2 linked regions of the Tamandua tetradactyla genome follow. The protein of the gene in region 1 binds, or shares a complex with, the protein of each later gene. Links are inferred from orthologs where the notes say so. Each region holds a gene or a part of one and is shown on either strand. Other genes may lie near its edges.

Region 1 (7,108 bases):
CCCGGCAAGAGGGAGGGGAGCAGGCGGAGGAGCCGAGCCGGCGTGGGGCGAGGCAAGGCGTGCAGAAAGCACCCAGTGTGCGGAGCGGCGGCCGGGTCCTGCTCCCGCCTCGGAGCCCCGGGCCCGGGGAAGGGGGAGAGGCCACTAGCCCGGTCTATGTCTTTTTCTGACTCCAGTGCAACCTTCCTGCTGAACGAGGTAAACGCGGGCCCCCTCCCTAATGGGTGGTAGGGGAGGGAGACCAGAGGAAGCCAGACCAAGGGTGGAAGGCAACCCGTAGAAGGGAGAAGCCAGAGCTGGCAGCTCCTAAGCATTAGAACTGGGAAGGGAGGAGAGGATTTATGGGAAGCTGGAAAGGGGCAAGATTAGAGGGAGTAGGGAGGGCTCTGCTGAACTCTCCTTGGTACCTCACCCGGAATTCCCTGGCGTCAGTTTAGCCCCTAGAATGCACTTGTTGGAGACTCCTGGAGGGAGGACTTTGCAGAGGTGTTGGCTCCTGCCTCAGTTTCCCCCTTCAAGGCTCAGGGATTAGGATCTACACAGCTTCCTGGTGCAATGAGAAAAGCTAGAATGTATTCTGGAGGCACCCAAGAACTCTACTTCCCAAACCTGGTTACTCAGACTTTGCCCCCTCTGTCCTGCTTCAATGCCTGGCTACTTGCCAGTCTAATCTCGTCTAGGCAGAGATTGGCAGAAGGAGTCCTCTCCTCAAGGCTTGGACCCTGATCCTTTTTTTTTTTTACATGGGCAGGCTCCAGGAACCGAACCCAGGTCTCTGACATTCTGACATGGCAGGCGAGAATTCTGCCACTGAGCCACCATTGTACCTCCCCTGATCCTTTTTGCCCTCAGCATTCTCCCCTTAGGCCCAGCCATGAGAAAGAAAAAAGATTAGGGATACTGACATGTCCTGCTACAGATAGGAATCACTAGGTTGGCCTGAGAATTAGAGAAGACATTCGTCTACCAAATGGTAGAGGGCATTGGTAGCAACCCAGAGATACAACAAGAAGAAAGGGAGGCTCCAAAGCACCAGGAGAACCCAGGGGATGGGCCAGGTGTGAGGAGATTGAATCCATCTCCTGGGATTTGTTGGCATGGCAATTCATGCCTCATGCGCAGACTTATGCACTATTGTCCCAGATGTGGATGAAGACAACAAGGTGTGTGAGGAAGGCGTACTGCTGATACAGGTCCATTGTTATTTGCAGTCTCCAGGACTCCCTGGGATTAGGGAGAGTACAAAAAAGAGATGCCCGCAGATTAGATTCAGGGATGGAGAGTGAAGCAGCCGACTCAGCATCTGTCTTCACTGGAATCCTCTCCTAGGAGCAAGCCCCTTAAGGGTCTTATTGTTTCATACTTCAGATCTCTTCTCTGCCCCCAGAAGAAATGGACAGAAGAAATGGAAGTGGCAGAGAGAATAAAAGAGGAGGATAGAGGGAATGCTATGAAAGTGGGAGAGGGCAAAGAAGTGAAAAGCCAGTGTGTTGGGGGATTCCCAATTTAATATTATATATTAAAATATATAATAACCTCAAATTATATATAATAATCCAATATATAATAACCTCAGGATAGGGAACTGTGAAAGCAAACTGCATTCACAATAGGGACTGGTCCCCTCAGCTGTAGGGGCTCCAGCCAAATCCAGTTTGCCAAACCTAGCAGAAGGAGGATGCTGGGCTGGACGGGGCTTGGACCATCCACAGGCACAGTCAGACTAAAGGCAAACTAAAAATAGTTTTAAGATGAGGCCCCTTCTCTCTCTTTTCCTTGCCAAGCAAGCACAAACAAGTAGCATAGATGGGAAGCCGACTGGTTTAAGGGTCTTCTTCTCTCCCACGCATAGGCCCTTCTACCAAAGAGCCCATGAACCTTGTCAAGTTTTGGTTTCCTGAGTCTCCTCTAGCCCTGAAACAGGAAGAGACTGGGAATTATTTAGAGCAAGATGTTCTATAAATGTTTGTGGAAGGAATAAATTAGTGAGCAGAGATGGGTAAGGAACATTTGGTGGTCCCTCTCCTAGACTCCAAGTCTCAATGCTAAAAGACCCCCCAGAAAGTCTAGCCCAACATTCTTTTAAGGAGCGGGAAATAGTCTCAGAGATAAGTAACTTGACTGGGATCACATAGTTTTTTAGTGGCAGAGCCAAAATTAATATGCAAGTATCTTAACTTCCAAACATCTTTTAGCTACTATACCATATACCCTTCCCACTATCCCTCCCCCATTCCCCACCCTCTGCTCATGGACAGAGAGGTCCCTATTCTAAACTCTTCCCTTCCTGTTCATCTTCCTTCAACACATTATTGAGAGGGAAAGAAGCATCACTAAATGGTTATTAAAGTGATAACAATAACTCCCTACAATTGGGCAGGGATTTTTAGTTTATAGAGGCTCTCACACCCCCATTTTCTTATCTCACCCTCATAGTGAGGTGTGAAAAACTGGGAATAGAGAAAAATCAAGCTCAGGGACAAAGGTCCAGACACTAGGAGGCCTAAGACCTCTCACCAAGTGTGTAACCCCTTGTCTACTTCTGTCATCCCCCTGAGGGGAGTGGGCTGGGCAGGTTGGTGGGTAGGCAGTCTAGACCATTAATCAAAATTTAGAGAACTAACTTTGCTCAGGAGATGAAGAAAGGAGGGAGCTCAATGGGGGCATCTTTGGAGAAATTTCTTCAAGATAAGGCCATGGCTCTGTCTCTAATCTTGGGGCTCCTCTGGAGGAGACTGACTGGTGCAGAGTGGTACATGGAATCTGAATACCTAGCCCTCATCTTTGCTAAGGAGAGAATCTAGTCTTACGCCAGTGCCAGTGACTCTGGGGAGACATGCCTTTTCTCCCTTCCAACTCCAGTGTGGCCAGGACCCTATTTTCTCTCCTACCCAAAATAACCCCCCTACCTCCATCCACTTGTTTCTTCCCCCCTCCCTTGAGGCTCAGCTAAGACAGCCTCTCCCAGCTCCAGTTCCCGAGGAGCTGGCACAGTCCTTGTCAGGGAAGTGAGGAAGGGAACCTCCATCCCTGCTAGACTAAAATGAAATCTGCCAGCCTAACCCCAGCTCAGGAAACATCATCACCACTACCACCACCACCATCTCATCCCACCCCCCCACACACCCACCCCCCACCCCGCCCCTTACCCTCAGTACGGGGTTGGGCAACACAACCCTTTGCTGAAGCATCTCTGGACTGAGGGGGGTGGGCACCTGTTGGGATAGGGGCTGCTTTCATGGCGTTGACTTCCGTCACCAAACTCATTTCTCACCAATTCCATTGAGAGGTTTGCTTTTGGAGTCTCCAGGACTGCCAGGGCCCAGACACACCGCCCTCTCACCTGGGGCCCCTCCCCCGTCTGCAGCTGTCCCTCCCCCACGCCTCTTCTGTTTTCCTCAGTCTCCCCATTTCCCTGTCTCCCCGCTTCCTCCCTCTGCTTTTATCCCTTCTTTTTCTCTCCTGACTCCCGGTAACCTGCGCCCTCTCCTTTCTCAGCTCGAGTCTCGTCTCCCTCCCAGTCTCGGTGTCCCCTCCCCTCCCCCGCTCCAGCCCTTTGTTTCCCGACGGAGTATTTCCTGGGTTGCCTGGCGTCTGGGTCTCCGCATCTCTCCTCGCCCCGCCTCCTCCAAGCCTGGATCCGCCCCACCCGCTGTCTCTCCTCCCTTTCCTCCCCCTCCTCCCCGCCTCCCCCTCTGCCCCATAGGTGCTTGGGGACCCACCTTCTACCCAGCTCCGGTCTACTACCCTCTCCCGGCCCAGTCCAGAGCTCCCCCAGTGGCCAGCGTCCCCCACCGCCTACCCCGCCTTCTCCCGGGGAGGGGAGGCAGGTGGGCGGGCACTATTGTTGTAGGAGCCGGCGCCAGATTCCTCAGCCGCTCCTGGGGTGGGACCAGCGGGGTTGGGGGGGAGGAGTAGGGGGAGCGGTGATTTGAGCTGGGAGCAGCTGGTCTTCGCGACTCGCTGCCTGCTTCGCGCTCTCTCGCTCGCCGCTGCCGCCGCCGCCGCCGCCGCCGCCGCCCGCCGGGCTGCGGGGCTCGGTGGCATCTCTCGGGCGCGGCCGCTGCCTTCGCCCCTGCGTCCCGGCCGCTCCCGCCCCGGCGCCGCTCGCTTCCCCCCACCCGGACTCCCCCATGTATGACGACTCCTACGTGCCCGGGTTTGAGGACTCGGAGGCGGTGAGTGCCCACGGTGAGGGTGGGGGTGGGGAGTTGGGATGGCACCTCCTCTCCTTTGGACCCTTCCCCCAGTTCAGGACTTTGAAAAAAAAAAAAAAAAAGCCTCAGTGGCAGGGCAACGGTGGGGGCGCTGTAGGAAAGTGGGGAGGTGGAATTTCATGCCGGGGGCTCCCCAGTGCCCTAGTCCTAGACCAAGGGCCATCGGATGCGAGCAAGTAGGGGGCAGTTTGGGGAAAAGGCTTGGGCAGGTGGCTCTCAAGCATAGAACGGGAGGAGTGGAGGGAGGAAGGAATGGAGGAGTGGAGATAAATGGCACAGATGCTTTAGAGAGGGCCGACGCAATGTCTAGAGTTCGAAGAGGAGGATTTATGGGATCTAAACACAACAGCTACAGGAGGAGCTGGGGCTCTTGAGGAGGGGGACATTCCAGACCAGTGCCCCAAGTCAGCAAAAAATAAGGGAGCCTGGGAGAACATCAAGGAGTCTGGTCCTAGCCTTTTCATAAAGAGGGATCATAAAACTTGAGAACCTCCATTATCCCTTCCTGCCCTCCATGTCTGCGCATTGCCTTATCTCCTCACACTTCTGTAGCCCAGCTTCTGACCAAGGTTGAAATCCAGGCACCCACTACATAGGTGGGCTGGTTGACCAAGCTGGATCCATTCCACAGCTCCCTGCTGAGGCTTCCTCATTAGCAGTAGGCACCCTGAATCCCTGCTCAGCATGGAGGGCCCGGAGGTGAGGCCAGAGAAGCCGAAGGCCTGAGGTTGGAGAGGAAGCTCTTTGCTCAGAGAACCAGGCAACTAATAAATATTTAATTCTCCTCTTTGCTTTTATCTCCTGACCCACTGAGACAAGGCAGTTCATTAGGCAGTGATTCCCGGAGCTCAGAGATCAGGGACAGGATCTAGAAAGAGGGGGCATGGATGGGGAGCAGCTTTTCAGACTCCTGGAGTTATCAACCTTCCCTTAAACCTGAAAGAAGGTCTCCTTGGAAGAGGACCACCAGATAGATGTCTTAGAAGGGACCCCCTGATTGTTGTGAAGGGTAGAACTGTATGGTTACCAACACTACTGGGTCTAAAAATGAAGTGTATTCAAGCTCTTTCCTATCTCTTGATGCCAGGCTCAGGATAGATGAGTGCTAGGGCTCAGAATAGGAGGCTGTCAGTCCTTTTCTGGGATTGGGCTCCGGCTGGGCCTAGTTCCCCATTGGGCCTCTGGGGCTAATTACCTAGCAGCTAGAGCACATCATTTTCAAGGCCCGTGTCTGAAAAATGAAGGGACAGCTGGCATGGCCCAGGGTGCCAAGGGGAGCTTGAAAAAGGGACCTTTCTGTGGGGCTGGAGGGGAGCCGGGAGGTTCTTCACATCCCTAGAGAGAGAAGGAAGGAGCTGTTGCAAGGTGGATGGCGTTTGAAGGCTGTGTGAAAACCTATTGCTCCCTTCCTGCCCCTTTCTGGTTCCTAGATCCCCTGCCCCCACTTCCCTTTCTCTTGCCTGGCTCCCTGCTCTCCCTGAGGCCCCCTCTGAAGAAGTAGGAGGGAGATCAGACTCGAAATAAATCTACCGGCTCATCTCCCTCCTCGCCTTCCCCCGTGCCAGGCAAGAGTGGAGCTGCAGCCTGCCCACACACTCACCAGGCAAGGGGGGCACCACCAGGGCTCTGTGCCAACTCCTGGCAGCTCCAAAGTACTGAGCCTGTGACTGTTTTGGCAAAGCAGGAGATGGGGGAGACAAGACCCCACAGTGTACTTGGAAGAGGAGTCTTGGCCTCCCTCAGTGACGCCAGAGCATCAGAGATGAGTGAGCCCTGAGGACTTGGGAGTAATGAAGAGGGGGTTCCATTCTGAGCACAGCTTATTTAATATTTAAGGAGAGATCCTGTCATTCCCATCCTAGATGGGAGGCCAGGTAACCCTGATGTCCCAGGCGGGGACATTAAGATTACTATTAGGTTGACAGCCTAGAGGACAGGGAGTAAAGGTTAGACTCCTCTCCCAGCTCAGTGCTAGGCATCTAAGAGGTACCTGATATTAATTTATCCTGCCTTTCCTCCTGTCTCCGAGCCTATCAGCCCCTATCTACTTCACACAGCCGTATCCTGCAGAGGTATCTCTTTTATACTCAGACCCCTGGGAAAGACGTCCCTCCTACTGACAATGCATAGATCCTTCCTGGGGATCAGCCTCTCCTTCCTGCTGCCAAGCAAGCCTTATTTTACTCTCATGAGAAATGAGAAAGAGCAGACAGACTCAACTCCTCTGTAAAATTAAGACTTTCCCCCCCTTGTGCTATCTTCATGCGTTTGGTCTACCACAGATGTTATCTATAGCTTAAGCTCTAGGACCTAGGCTAAGACCAAGCTGACAAGCCCTCCTGCCCAAGAGACGACTGGGGCAGAGGCCAAGTGGACAGTAGGTATGTGTTCCCACTGAGAATCTGGTCTCTGCTGCCTCTTGCGAGGTACTTATGCACAGAGAACTTGGGGAAATATTCCTCGGTCTGAGAACATTCTGGACACTGGACTAAAGTTTCTTCCCCTACACACACACACGAACAGCTTATCTAGACTCCTACCTTGTTTGCCACCTGTACTTAGAATTGAGGGAAGCATCATTTCAGTCTTCTGCCCGTAAAGAAGGGAAACTAAAGTAGAAAACAACATTCCTTTCTCCCTAGACTGAGGAGAAACTCAGATATCCTGACTTCAGGTCTCTTGTCCCAGGGTCCAGCTTCCCTTTTTCATTTGTGTATCTCCCTCATAGCCCTGAAGATGAGCTCTGGGGTTCTCCAAATACACCCTCATTGCCCTTCGTATGGGCAGGATTCAGAGACTCTCTTTGCTTTGCTTACTAGAGACCCTCCCCCTGCGTCCCCAGGGTCTGACTCTTTGGCTGGGTTGCCTGGCACAAGCCTGGCCCTTCTCCA
Region 2 (7,264 bases), about 15 Mb from region 1:
CCATGGTCCAGTGGAGTCACTGTAAATATTACAGCGTGGACCAGCGGGGCCAGAAGCCTGGAGACCTGTACAATCCTGACAGTAACCCTCAGGTGAGTCCTACAGCCCAGCCCTGTTTAGGCAAGGAGGTGGCTAAATTCTTCCTAAGAAACAGTCTTTACCATTGACTGAACAGCCTCTTTTACAAATCTTCCCCTGGGCACTTTTAGGGGAGAAAACACAAGAAATGGAAGAATACGTCCTCTTTCAGGGAACCTCAGATCTAAGGTAGCAGATAGGATACATACTTGAAAATGCCCAGAGAATACTTAAAATGGTGTGTCCAAATGTAGGCGTTAAAATAATATAAATTAATTATGTAGGGAATAAGGGGGCAATTTTAAGTAGCAGTCTGGTTTGTCAGAGTTCAGCAATAAAGACTTATTTCGTGAAGAGGGGGAATTTTAAGCCAAGCATAAGGAGTATTTGTTTTTGATGTTTATGTGATGGGTGCTACTCTCTTCCACAGGCCAACACACAAATGAGCAGCAGCCCCGTCACGTCCCCTACCCAATCCCCAGCACCCTCACCTGTCACCAGCCTCAGCAGTGTCTGCACAGGACTCAGTCCTCTACCTGTCCTCACACAGTTCCCTCGGCCTGGAGGTCCAGCACAGGGTAAGGGATGAGAGATCAGGGCTGACTGCTGTAAAATTCAGCCTTTTCTGGGAGCTAGTTCTTCCTTTGTATCAGGGAACCTCTAAAAACTGTAACGTCCCTGTTTAAGTCAAGAACACCCACCTCTTTCTAGTGCTGCCCATATTCCTTTATGTACTTAGTTGGAATCACCAAGTAGGTGACTGGTACTGTGGGCTAAGGGGAAGAAATTCATTGAACTTTCTAGTGAACCCAAGAGTTTAACCAGTCAGTACTGAGTCTGAAGGCTAGAAAAGTGGGGTTGTGTCAAACACAGTAGAATTTTAGAAGAGGGAACACAAGATTTGGGTTGAAAGACTTGGGTTCAAGTATTCGTTCCACCACTAACTCACTAGCTTTGTGATGCTGGATGTGTTACTTTAACTTGGAAAAAAACCTCAGTTTCCTGATCTATAAGATGGGGTTCATCACACATAAGATAGGAATCTTAACTGCTTTCTGACCTGGCTGTCACATGCAGTATAAAAACAAGATGAGACTATGGTTTAAAAAGTTAAAAATGCTCGTTTGTATTGGCTCTTACATGTGTCAGAAGATCGACCCCTGGCTTTTGAGGTGGGGAGAATCTGTATGAGATAAAAAACATTTGTAAGGGTCTTTAGTTTCCTCCCTGGTCATTTCATCAAGGCTTTTGTCTACCAAGTAAAGGTGAGGGGATGTAATAGCCCCATTTGTCTACAAGATACAGCTGAGAGCCAGGAAGATTAGGAAGAGAGACAACTCTAAAATCAGTCTCACGGGCACTCCTGTCACAGAAAATATAGGAATAGTATGTATTGTTGCTATCCATTTTCAAAGCCGACCCCATCCCATCCCCAAAGTCTCCTAAAAGTCATACCACAAAGCTCAAGCTCCCAGAAAACCATCTGCTCTTACTGCCTAGGTGATGGGCGGTACTCCCTCTTGGGCCAGCCATTACAGTACAATCTGTCCATCTGCCCTCCCTTGCTCCATGGCCAGTCGACTTATACAGTGCACCAGGTAAGGGTGTCTACCATCCCCTCCTACGTAGCCTTCAGGCCATCAGATTACCCCCTACACACACACACACACTCACTCACTCACTCACTCACTCACTCACTCTCTCTCTCTCTCTCTCATACACTCTCATCTACTCTCATCTGGTCCCCTATCTCTGAGCCATCCACCTTTTCCAGTTCAGAAGACAATGGAAACAACACAGGGAAAATGGAATAAGTGGGAGGGGCTGAAGGCCTTACCCCACTCCTGTACTCATTTCTTCCACCCACCCCAATGCCAAGAGGGAGGGGCTCTCTGCTTCTCAGTGACCATGCCTGGGCATCTGATTGCCTGGAAAGGTGTGATCCTCAGGACTGGGTGCTATTACTCAATCTCTCAGGCAGGAGTTGCAATAGAAGGCAGTTAGTGTTGTTAATCCAAAATGAGAATAGTCTTTTGATTGTTGAAGGGACAGAGTGGATTGAAGCATGGAAGCCGGGGCAAGAGACAAGCACTCAAATCTGCTTCCACTGACCTGGGGACAGCAGATGTTGGTGAGTGATAAAATCCTAAATCCCTGTAAGAAGGTGCCTACCACAAGCCTGCGTTACCAGCCAAGGATGGGAGGGAAAAGCCAGCTTAGGGTGGAAAATGAAAGTGGGAACCATTTGTGCTCAAGAGCAGGGAGAAGAGGGAAAAGTGGAATGTCTCAGTCTTCCCTACCAAACCATCCCAGATTCTTGGGAAGATAGTGGTAAAAATTGGAAATAACACAGTAATGGAGTCACTGAGTCTGTTAGCTGAGAGTCTTCTGGGAGCAGGCCTCACCTGAATATAAGACCTCTACCTTTGGTAGTATTTAGGAGGAGTCTCAGAGATTGTGGGGGAGTAATCCTCCTCCTGCAGGCATTCCACACTAGCCATACAAGATCTCTCAGGATTTCCCCCAGTTGGAACAGTTTGATAAACAAGGAAAGAAAAAAGGAAATTAACTTCCCTAGATGATAAGAAAGAAGATTTTATTTGGGCCAGCCTCTGAGTAGGAAGGGAACTGTGGACATACTTGAGATTGATTCATTGATTTTGTTAAAGCACATCAGCAAAACCCACCCTTCCTTTATAGCAATGGTACCCTGTGAGAGAACTGATTTATAGGTCCCCAGACCATCAACCTGGGATTCTGATTCCCAGACCTTCCTTTTTGCCTACATTTCTAGGCTATGCCAAGAGAAAGGTTCATCTTTTTCTCCTAGTTGCCCTAATCAGAGTCTGGATGGTGGGGAATTGGGTTGATTTGGAGAGGGGAGAAGATAGCAAAGAGGGAATGGCTAGGTTTTTGAGGACCTTGTATACAGACTTGTCAGTTGGATACTTCTCTCCCTTGCCACTGACCAGTTCTCCACCCCCCTGCCACTCCCCATCTTCGGCTCTTACCACTATATTCTCTCTCCTCCCCTTCCAGTCCTGGGGCGGGTGCTGGAGGTGACAGATCTCCCTGAGGGCATCACCCGCACCGAGGCTGACAAACTCTTCACTCAGCTCGCCCTGTCTGGCGCCAAGATCCAGTGGCTCAAGGATGCTCAGGGGCTGCCTGGCGGGGGCGGAGGGGACAACGGTGGGACTGCTGAGAACGGCCGCCATGCGGACCTCGCTGCCTTGTACACCATAGTGGCTGTGTTCCCCAGCCCCCTGGCTGCCCAGAATGCCTCCCTTCGCCTCAACAACTCCGTGAGTCGCTTCAAACTTCGAGTGGCCAAAAAGAACTATGACCTGAGGATCCTGGAGCGAGCCAGCTCCCAATAAGTGAAGGAGGGAAAAGGACTGGCACAGTAGGGGTGGGGACGAGGTGAAAGAGGGTCGAGGGATCCAGATAGACCACTGACAGGTAGAAAACAGGGAGACAGACGCTGAACTGGAACCTAAGACAGTAAGAATAAACGTGGAAGCAAACACTCACACTGGCACTGGACTCCTCACTCCCCTGCCGTCATCCCTTTTCTGTCCCACTTGGCTCCTCTCTGCTTCCCTCTCCTTCCCATCCTCTTCTATCATTTTTTATCTCTCTTCCCACCACAAAATTAATTTTTTTCATATTCTTTGGCCAGGTAGAATTGGGAAGGTCCACAATCCCGTATTCTATTTCCTTACTATCCTAAGCTCCCTTTTATTTTTTGGTCGTTACGAATATATTTATATGGGCAGAATTAAGAAAAACAATATTGATTTCTCCTTCCTCTCACTTCCCTCATCTTGTCTCCCAAACCCCACAGAGTTAAAACTTGGGCCCCCCTCACCCCCCAGAACACTTGTATATTGTTTGAAGTTTGTGCCGCAGTAACAGACACAGTATTTAATTGCACATACAGATGTTTGCTGGGTATATTCACTGTAAATTTTATTTAATCTGGTTTTTTGTTTGTGGGGGGGTTACTTGGGGGGAGGTTGATTTTGTTTTTAAATATAAAAAAAAATCTTCTGTCACTGGACATCAGTCCTCGTTTCTGTGTTGCCGCCCTGGTGTGGGTGGGGGTTGGGAGGGTTTGTTGTGGGTTGGGATGGATTTCCCCTAGCATATGCACATTTATCTTCCTAGCACCATTCCCTCTCTCCGATCCTCCTTCCTGCCCATAATTCTGATGGGTGGTTCTGGGTTTTTCCAATTCTGCCACTAACTGTGGTTCATCAAGCACATCACCTTCTCAACTCTGGATCTCTGTGTCCTTATTAATAAAATAAGAGACTTGGACTGACTAGGTGACCTCCAAGGTTCTTGTCAGCCTGTTAATTCCGTGGTATTCATTTAGGGCCCTTGTGGCTGAGCTAGGGAGGAATAAGGTCTAGAAATGGGTTGAAATGCTGATCTCAAAGCCCATCATCTAGTCTTCTGAAAACCTTCAAGCGATGGGCCTTTCTTTAATCCTAAAACTAGAGGATTGAGCTCTACTTGGCAAGAATGGAAGTGGGTGTTTTACAATAAAAGCTATATTATCTGAACTTACTGTGCCAAGATGCTAGATTTATGCAGGCATACTCAGCTGTCCCTGTCCTTTGCAGATGAAGAAAGTTCAAGAAAAGCAGAGGTCACCTGCCTGCAAGATGGACGTTTTCTATATCTGAGGCATCTCAAAGTTAGCCCTGTTTTTCTGCAGCCTGTTAAACAGGGCCCATTAAGGAGCCTGTAGAGTCAAACCAATAGAACCCTGCCATCCAGTGGCCCCCTTTCAATCTCACCCCACCCCCTTAGGAAAAAGAGCAGTGGGTAGAAACGGCAGAGCATATTGCCCTGGAAAATGTTGGATCTGGGTGACTGTATCTCTAGCCAAGCTCTGAAGCTTGTCTGACCCTACCTCCAACCTAATCCTTTATTTCTTAACAGACACAAGGGATAGTGCAGCACTACATTACCATGTCTAAATTGCTCTCCTCTGAGATGGGGGTTATCTTTTTCCAGCCATGTCACAACCCAAAGAATAGCAGAAAGCTGCATCCCTGTGAGAAAAGAATGCAAGCTATCGTACTGATCCATCAGTTCATATACTTGGGCATCACAGGAAGGAGGTGCATCAAGGAATGAAAATTATTTAGGAAGTGTGAAGTTCAACCATCCTACCTGCAAGAATTTGCAGTTCTCCTGAGGAAAGGAACATTATTTACAGATGATAAAAATTCCCTATGCAGCAGCTGTAAGCTTCTGGCCAGTGTTAACTGAACTATCTCTACCTGGTCATTAGGCCCTCACTCCCGCAAAATCTCTCAGATGGAAGTCTTAAGCCCTTACAATTCACTATCCTGAGGACAAGATTTGGAGATGTGTGGAAAGATCAAGGGAACAAGCAGTAATACAGATTCCTCACTCCTTTACAGGACAGAAGCAAGGCCACCCCTCTTAAACCCACAGTTAATAAAACATTCTAGTCTGGTTGATAGGAGAGCGCTTTCCTATCTTCACCAGTCCCCAGTCCTTTCCATCCTCAAGTTTAAGGTTAGATTGATGCTTGAGGTTATACAAACACATAAGTCACAAGAAGATAAAGGCTGAGAGGCTGAAGTCTGTAGTCCTTAAAGTAGGTACAGAGAGGGCAGAATTGGGGAAGTTTTTGAACCTTGGAGGTAAGGGATGGAGAAATGTTTTATAATTTATCTTTACTTCACCTTTAGTCCTCCAAAATCCATTCAAATGGGTGTACAGCCTGAACCAAAACCATTCCTTACTGAATTTACTACTGGCCTGCCCACCATAGATGAAGAATCAGGAAACGGGAGCTTTGGGGGACGGGAGGGCTAGGGTACAGCCCTGCCCCAGTCCTCCCCGTGTCCAATTTCTCTGTGTCAGCTGTGTTGCTCAGCTGTCCACTTTCCTCCAGCCCTGTCATTTCAACTCTGACACCAAAGGGAGAGGCTAGGAGGTCTACATATACCAACTGGTAGCCGGTGTGAGTACAGAGGGTACTGGGGGGGCTCAGCCCCCAGGGAAGAGGACCGATCCTCCCCCCAGCACCACCACCAAGGCCCCAGGGGCTCCTACTTCCCTCCTCAGGCTGACTTAGGGAATCCCAAACGTAAGTTGCCTCTTCATCCTCTTTCCATTTCTAGGACTGCTCACCCCAGCTGTCCCAATCCTTAGTCTATTCATCTTCTTCATTTCTACTTATCTCCAAGTATTTTAGGAGTGAAGTTATTACCTTACTCCAGGAAGAGAGCTAGGATTGGGGGAGGCGGTGGCAGGTTGGGGAGTGGGGGTTGGGCCAAGGGGATGGAGCAATAGGGAGGGAAAGGCTCATATTACTTTGAAAACTTAAAATAGCTAAGGCCTGTGGCAGGCTGAGATCAACTAGGCGAGAGGCCCCCAGGGCTTAAAGGAGGAGGTAGGAGGGAACAAATGTCTCCAGCCCATTCCTCCATGCATGCATGTGGATGCAGGCATGAAACCTCTTGAAGAGAAGGGGCCCAGGAAGGCATGTCAAATCTCTCTTGCCCACAACCTCCCAAAAGAAAGTGCCTGTAGGAAAATTCCCAAACCATGTAGCTTTGAGCACTGTGTTGAGGCTATAAACTCTGGGGCTGCCCCTCAGGGTAGAAGGTTGGATATCGGTTTAAGGAACAGGTTGGAAAATTCTTTCGTCTGTCTGGATCTCCATGGAGTCTTTCTGTTCATAAGCCCTAGGAAAGAATCTCTAAGCAGATTTCTTCTGAGGCCTCTTCTTCAAGGACAACCCTACTGCTAAGGACAGGAATAAGGAAGGAAAGAATGGCAGTTAGGGATTAGAGTTCATAGTGGGGTCCAACCTCTTGCAGGATGACAGAAAAGGAGGTGCTGGAGCCCCCTAATCCCTCCTTCCCAGCAGAGACTCGTCAAAGTGGGGTGAGTCTGGGCATCTGACCATTGGGTGTGGGAAGGTGGGAAACCATTACAGCCCTTTAAAAAAAGTGCCTGAATTGTTCTTATTTTTATGTGACTCATTTAGAATGCCAGCCAGCACCTACAGCCCCAGTATCCCTTAATCTTGGGGTGTAACCCAGGTCTCCAGCATGGCAGGCGAGAACTCTGCCGCTGAGCCGCCATGGCCTGCCCGATGACAATCCTTTAACATTGGATTTCCTTCACTCCT

Evidence for each region.
Region 2: CACNB3 (region 1) and STAC3 share a complex: the UniProt entries of both Homo sapiens proteins name them as parts of the calcium channel complex. The link is inferred for Tamandua tetradactyla from reciprocal best matches to the Homo sapiens genes CACNB3 and STAC3.

Annotation. Positions count from the first base shown.
Region 1 is NC_135333.1:109,718,372-109,725,479, forward strand, and holds the start of CACNB3 (voltage-dependent L-type calcium channel subunit beta-3), read left to right. Parts: upstream 1-4,107; 5' UTR 4,108-4,133; coding exon 4,134-4,178; intron 4,179-7,108. UniProt on the Homo sapiens protein: Regulatory subunit of the voltage-gated calcium channel that gives rise to L-type calcium currents. Increases CACNA1B peak calcium current and shifts the voltage dependencies of channel activation and inactivation.
Region 2 is NC_135333.1:124,434,054-124,441,317, reverse strand, and holds the start of STAC3 (SH3 and cysteine-rich domain-containing protein 3), read left to right. Parts: upstream 1-4,247; 5' UTR 4,248-6,214; intron 6,215-6,950; 5' UTR 6,951-6,951; coding exon 6,952-7,017; intron 7,018-7,264. Other genes in the region: R3HDM2 (R3H domain-containing protein 2), read left to right, coding at 1-92, 509-656, 1,579-1,676, 2,125-2,209, 3,118-3,458. UniProt on the Homo sapiens protein: Required for normal excitation-contraction coupling in skeletal muscle and for normal muscle contraction in response to membrane depolarization. Required for normal Ca(2+) release from the sarcplasmic reticulum, which ultimately leads to muscle contraction.